2 linked regions of the Caenorhabditis elegans genome follow. The protein of the gene in region 1 purifies or fractionates together with the protein of each later gene. This does not show direct contact. Each region holds a gene or a part of one and is shown on either strand. Other genes may lie near its edges.

The links. Proteins that work in one complex are often made in the same cells at the same time.
Region 2: the proteins of dnc-2 (region 1) and dnc-3 purify together in Caenorhabditis elegans (affinity purification with western blotting; 2 studies listed by BioGRID, with this or other methods). This does not show direct contact.

The regions. Positions count from the first base shown.
Region 1 is NC_003281.10:5,924,049-5,927,806, reverse strand, and holds dnc-2 (putative dynactin subunit 2), read left to right. Parts: upstream 1-2,052; 5' UTR 2,053-2,075; coding exon 2,076-2,183; intron 2,184-2,240; coding exon 2,241-2,307; intron 2,308-2,352; coding exon 2,353-2,767; intron 2,768-2,817; coding exon 2,818-3,145; intron 3,146-3,201; coding exon 3,202-3,279; 3' UTR 3,280-3,409; downstream 3,410-3,758. Other genes in the region: zmp-1 (Matrix metalloproteinase-A), read left to right, coding at 1-23, 427-781; bcl-7 (BCL7-like protein), read right to left, coding at 1,012-1,295, 1,518-1,608, 1,656-1,721; C28H8.2 (uncharacterized protein), read right to left, coding at 3,410-3,463, 3,509-3,758.
Region 2 is NC_003280.10:3,551,845-3,555,231, forward strand, and holds dnc-3 (DyNactin Complex component), read left to right. Parts: upstream 1-1,935; 5' UTR 1,936-1,991; coding exon 1,992-2,063; intron 2,064-2,113; coding exon 2,114-2,236; intron 2,237-2,281; coding exon 2,282-2,392; intron 2,393-2,444; coding exon 2,445-2,545; intron 2,546-2,594; coding exon 2,595-2,703; 3' UTR 2,704-2,773; downstream 2,774-3,387. Other genes in the region: W10G11.19 (DUF4105 domain-containing protein), read left to right, coding at 1-66, 129-344, 926-1,292, 1,336-1,551.

The sequences.
Region 1 (3,758 bases):
GCTTATGAGTGGCATTATTTCAAGTGAGTAATCAAAGCAGTTAGTAAAAAATAAATATTGAGTAATGATAATTGTAGGTTCAGCGAAAATTCGAAAGTTCGTAAACTTGAAAAATCGTTACTTTTTAACATATTTGTTTCAAGTTTGAAATGTTACCAAAACGTAACACATTGCTAATCAAAAATACTCGGGTCTTGGCACGAACGAAACTTTTCAGATATCGTACCCGCGATCGTTTAGCAGCTTTTCACCGATTTACTTTGATACTTTGAAAGATTATCTTGGTGTTTAAAAAAAACATTTATTTAAATATTTCCAAAAAGACGGTACATAATACATTTTGAGAAACTACTCTGAGGGTACGGTAGCTGAAAAGGTTCGTTCAGGACCACAACTTAATAAAATCAAATATAATTTCCATTTCAGTCCGCCTGCTGTATACATTTGGAAAGGATCTCGATATTGGAAATTAGACGAGAAAATGTATCATCGAAGAGTTGATGAAAGGTATCCAAAAGATACTGATCTGAATTGGGCGAGAGTTCCAAAAGGAGTACATTCTGCCTTCACTTATGAAAAAGAAATTCATCTTCTACGTGGAAATCAAGTTTTTCGAATGAATTCATCCCGATCTGTATTTGATATTGCTGATGGATATCCCCAACCTTTACAATCTTTTTTCGGATTCTGCCCTCGCAATGAGAAGCTTGTTCTGAATTCTTCTTCTTCACATTTTTCTTTGATCTATGCAACAATTACTATTTTGATACTCATCTTTTAAGATTTAAATCTCTCAATGGCAGATTCACTTGTAAAAACAGCACTGAAATGGGTTTTATTTAAAGTTTTAACTTGTTATTTTAACTGGTGAATACAAAAAATTATTAAAAATAAATGTGATGAAACATGAAAATTTTTGAATTAATGAGATAAAGTTCGGAATGAATCAGGATTATATGATACAACATGAAATCAAAATGAGTACAGATTAGAGATCATTAGATAAAGATTTTATGGTTGTTTTGATGTCATTTCAGCGTCGCGCATCGAACTGAAATCCGTTGAACCAGTGGCTCCACCTTGATAGTTTTGTGGCTCGAAAGTTTGATTGGAGTCACTATCAAAGTGATCGCCAGTGGAAAAATTGGAATCTTCGTTGATATCGAATTGTGGTGGTGGTTGGGTAACGCTGGTGGAATCCTGGGAATTCTCAGCAGATGGGACTTGATTGCTCTCCTCATCCACTTCTTTGACTTCCTTGATCTTTGGAGGAGCCATTATGTTTTGAGCGCTCACTGAAAAAGTTGTATTGAAAGTTTGGTTTTTTTTTTGAGAAATTCAAAACTTTTATATAGCAGAATATGTTATTAATTCATAATGCAGAGTCATTGAATTGTATCAAAAATATAAGTGTGAAGTTTTTTTTTTAATAATTACTATTTTAAAAAAGTATTTCATATAAATTTATATATAAATAGTTTCTAAATACCGAAATACGTGTTAAAATAAAAAATTACCCGGAACCCATTTGTAGATCCGAATATTTGTGTCCTTGATAAGAACTAACTTCTTTTCCCACCGACGAACTTTTTCCAATGAGTTGATAACCTGAAAATCTTAATATCAGTTTAGTTTTGGAAAAGTTGATTGTTTACCTTTCGGAGTTCATCTTTTGAGCGATTTCTTGTTTCAGCGCGATGAGATCTATTTGCTGAGTACATCTGAAACTTAAAAATTTAATAAATTTACAGAAAAATAAATAAAAAGAACGAAATACAATAAAACTGTTTAAATTCGAACAATCGAACGTTTTTGCCAAAACTGAACTCTGTCGCCTCTAATCTCTAATACGTGCCGGTAGAGCGCAGTAACTCATTGTTGTGTGTAGTCCTCTCGGACAATCTAATTTACTTGTTTCGCAATCAATTCCACGGCCATTTTGATGTTTCTAGCACGATTTATTACTTTAACCTATCATACATTTTGTTTATTCATTTTTCTAAATTTTTGCCGTTTGATCCTAAATATTTTAAATCAAATTCTGTTTTCTAGAAACTCTCAAATCTTGCGTCAAAATGTCATCTATTGGAAAAGAAGATATCTACGAGTCTGACGGAGCTGCAAGTCAAGTTCAAAAAAGTGAACCTGAAAATGACAATCCAACTCATCCGGATATCGAACTGGTTTGTATTTAATTAATTTAAATAATATAAATATTTAGTGAATTCTGATTTTTACAGATTTCGGTTGACGTTGACGAAGCTCTCAAAAAGTACAAAAACCGGGTACTGAACTTGACTTCAAGCGGTAATTTTAAAATAATATTACTTATCATCTTTTTTTTAAATTTAGATTTTTCTGACTCGATTGCTAAAAAGCGGCGACACGCATTTGGAAACAATCAATACGTATTGGAAGTTACTGGTGCAGGATTTTCGGGAACCGAGACTGCAGCCGAAAAACTGAATCGCATTTTGTACGAAGTCGCCGATCTGAATGAACAAATTCGTGCTGATGAAAATCTTAAAACGGATTTGCTCAACGCTGAGGTTCTTGAGAATCTAGAGAAAGAAGTGAAAACGTTGCAAGTGGCTCAGTCAAATGGAAAAACTGCACGAGTTGAGCATGATGTTGAGTTACCAAATGTTCGCACTGACTCGAAAGTGGCAACTCTTGAAAATAGGTTGAGAAGAATCGAACAAGTTATTGGAAGTTCGGTTATTCCATCAGCTCCCGTACTTGACACCATTGAAGATCTCAAACTCAGGTGAGATATCTTAAATTTAAAAAAATAAAAACGTATGAAAAATGTTTGAGATGCGAAACGCTTAATCATTCGTATGTCTCCGGTCTTGAACAACGTTTGAATATGATGCTTACCAAACTTGAAAAAATCGACGAGACACGCGCCAACAATGATATCGACGAGAATCTTGACAAGAAAGTTGATGAAATTCTGGAGCTTATGCAAAAATGGGATGTCGCTTGCTCATCTCTTCCAAGCAATGTTAATAAGGTTAAAGCATTGAACCGTCTTCACGAACAAGTTCAACACTTTGCCGGTGGACTATCACATTTGAAAACTATCAGAGAAAAACTCGAAAAGGAAGTCGCGCAAGGAAGAGAAGCGATTATCGAGTATGAGGTGTGTTTTTTAATTGTTTCGAGGAATATAAACAAATTAAATTATTGAAATTACAGTCCCAAGGAAAGCAAGAAATCGGGTCAGTGGTTGAAAAGCTGAAGCTTCTCGAGGCAAAAGTGGCAGATTTGAAGTGATTTTATCGACCTTTCTAGAGAAACAATTCATAATTTATTGTGTACGGACAATGCAACATTAACTAATCTGTTCGATATATTTATGTGCTTTATTTTTGCTTTCCATATTTCCGAATGAACCAATCTCTATTCAGCAATTGAAGGCCATACTCAGATAACGAACTCCCCATCCGACATTCTCGTCCTGAAATTTTCATATTTCTAAGTCAGATTTTTCGCGAAAACTCACATTAACCGCTCTGATAATCATATGAAAATGATCTTCGAATCCAAACCAAGATTGTGATGTAACATGGAATTCAACCGTCATATGAGAAGAATCTTTAGTCATTATTGCAAAGATAATACGAATTTCAGGATTGTAATGAGTTCTTGTATATCTATCGAAATATGATTTAAATCTGGCAAAATCCAATTCCTCTTGAATATGACAATCAGTTCCTTTTACTTGATCATCATAATAATTGAAATGCTCAATC
Region 2 (3,387 bases), on another chromosome or scaffold:
CGATCATCTCGAGGCAAGATTCCGTGGAAAATTCCAGAAGGATCAGGTTTATGACTGGATTTTGACGTAAGATTTTGACGTGGCCGTGGGGGATAAAACTCGGCCACCAAATGAAATTTCTCTTCCAGAACCAAGCAACCCGAGGTAAAACTGCTCAACGAGGAGCTGGTGCCGAGCTACCGTAGTGGAATGGTCCCAGGATTTGATCGCGCGCGGGAAACCGTAACAATTCTGTTTATTGACACGAAAAAGTCGCAGATTTGGAGGAATTACGCGAAATTTGCGCGGGAAAATCACGGGCGGTTCCATTTGACAGCGCTGGTGTCCGAGGAGGTCAAGAAATGGTAAGAATTGGTGGAGAATGTTGTTCAAAATTTGATTTTCCGTAACTTTCCGGGTCCTACCGCGAACGAAAATTTCCAACTACAGTACCCCACATGGTAGCTCACGTGGTGCCAGGCTGTCTCATTGCGGTTTGATCTACAAAAATCCAGGAATTTTTCCCCTAGCAAAGAGTGACGTCAGCACGTTCTTAACCATGGGAAATCAATTGAGAACTCTGCGTCTCTTCTCCCGCATTTTTTGTAGATCTACGTAGATCAAAAAGGAGACACTCTGACACCACGTGGTAGCTGAGAAGTTTTGTTCGTGCCAAGACCCAAAGCATGGATTTGATCGAAAAAATATTATGCCAGTCCGAGTTTTTAGTCGTAATCGCAACTTTTTGGGTCCTGCCGCGAACGTAACTTTCCAACTACAGTACCCCCACACGATAGCCAAATTCGTTCGTGCCAAGACCCAAAACTGGGATTTTGGCTAAAAATGTATTTTTTTTCAGAAGAAATTGAATTTTAACGAGAAAAATTGGTTTTTTTTTCCTGGAAATTTTCGAATTTTCCAAATTTCAAATTTCCCGATCTTTCAGGTCCATCTACCCTGCCTTCATCACGATGAAGCCCTATGACCCCTTCGTAAAAGCCTTCACACTTCATAAGGATCTCAACTGGAATCGAATGGTCGACTACTTGGAGGACGGTGTACACCCGGGCTGTCATCAATTGTCAAGTCCCTCCGATTTCCTCTTCGCCACCGGAACCCAGAAGCCTCTGGTCGTATTTTTCGACCCACTGGACTCTAAAAATTCTGAAGGATTCAAAAAATCTGCTGCCGAGCAGCAAAGCGGCGATCGAATTGCTCATTTTTCGGCTGTAACCGGTTTCGACCTGTTTGGACTGTATGTGATGAGCGTTTTTAATGTGAATTCCCCGAGCTATATTGTCATTCGGCGACAGGTACTTTCACTTTTTAACTTCAAATTAAATTCATTTTTTCCAGGAAAAAGGATGGTGCATCCACACAAAACCCGCTGAAAACGACAATTTCACTGGAATTCTTTCATGGGTTCGGAATTTGGAGCCAGTTCACTGCCAGGAGCTCATTGAAAACTTCAAGTTCCCAATTGCTCGTTTGAATCTGTTGGAGCGGTATGATGACGTGGAAGAGCTAGAGAAAGGGTTCACGGCCGTGGAGTGGACTAGGGACGAGCTATAGGAATTTTAAAAAATTGCTCTGTTGTAATTTGGTAAAAATAAATAATTTAATTTGTTTTAATTTGATGTTTTACAGATTAAAATTGCATTAAAAATTTATATTTAAGAATTAATTAATTTTCCCTGCTCGTCATTTTAAATGCCAGTTCCGCAGGTACACCGCCACGGTAGATTGCGGACAAAAGAATCCTTTTTTTAGCTGTTTTAAGGAAATAACAAGAAATTTCGATGAAAATTTTCAGTTTTAAGCTTTCATACTAAGATTTAATAAAAAACAGACAATTTTAATGTAGAATTGCAGGCGATATCCTAGTTTCCACACTGAAAATCACTTGCGCGTCAAATAAAATGCAAAGTACGCATTGACACCGTCACGTCCCATTGCACACAATTTCTCAATTATTATTTTTCTTTTTCGATCTTTTGATTTTAAATCTGAAAATGGACATGATCGAGCTTGAAAAAAAGATTTCTGAAATTGAAGAAGTTCTAGGAATCGATGATCTCACCACGGTAAGCTTTTTTCGCGCAATTTCCAATAAAAATGCCAATTTTTTTTCCAGAAAACATCAATTCCCTCTCAAATCGAGGCTCTTCAATCCAAATTACGAGATGATTGTAAGGCGAATCTGCTAATGTCGATTCCCATTCAAAAGCTGGAGCATTTGAGCAAAATCGCCACGGAAGTACGTTGGAAAAACTGAATTTTCTGTGAAAAATCGATTTTTCAGACATCCGGCCCATATGGATCGCTGACTGACAAAATAGAGTCTGTAAAATACGCGGAAAAGCTGATCAATGAACGAGCGGAACGGATTAAACAATTTTCAGATGCTCTTGAGGTCTTTTTTTGCGATTTTTCAGAGAAAATTGAAGAAAAATAAAAAATTTCAGCCCTGCCTCGACCAGGAGCTCTTCTCAAAAGTGGCTGCACTTCAACCGGAGCTTGACGCTGAAATCGAAAAATACGAGAAGGCCCTGGAGGACTGGACCAAGTAATTGCAGTTTTTAAAGCCTAAAAATCTGAAATTTCCAAAATTTCAGAACCTACGGAGAATTCCAGACACTTGTCGCCGAGCGGTCAATGATCAACCAAAAAATCACCGAAAAAGTGCTGGATCTGCAGACGAAAATCAACGCAAAAGCTAAATAATTAAATATTTTTTCGCTGGATTGTAATTTATTTTTATTTTCTTTGTTTTCCTGTAAAAATTGAAATTCTACAAGTTTTTTGTTAGACAGAAAGACGAATTGGCAGCAATTATCGACTTTTCGAAGTGGGCAAGATGATGACGTTGTTTCGGGAAATTGGAAAATTTGTTTTTTTCCAATTTTTTTCCTCGCAAGAAAAATAGTTTTCTCTCCATTTGAATTACTAGATTTTTCAAAAAATTTGAACTTTTCTCCGTGGAGCGCGCTTGCATTATTAGATTTTACGAAAATTTGAATATTTCTCAGTGGAGCGCACTTACACCTCACTTTTTTCCAAAATTTTTAGTAATTCTCGATGGAGCGCGCTTGCAGCAAGGTAATTTTCAAAATTTTCCCAAAATCTCTATGTAGCGCAGTTGTAATCCAAAATTACAGCTAATTACCAGTAGAGCGCGCTTGCATCAGTATTTTTAAAATTTTTTTGAAATCAATTATCAGTGGAGCGTACTTGCATCCCAATAAATTTCATATAGTGCCAGGCTGTCCCATTACAGTTTGATCTACAAAAAATTCGGGAATCAGCACGTTCTTAACCATGCGAAATCAGTTGAGAAACCTGCGTCTCTTCTCTCGCATTTTTTGTAGATCTACGTAGATCAAGCCAAAATGAGACACCCTAACATCA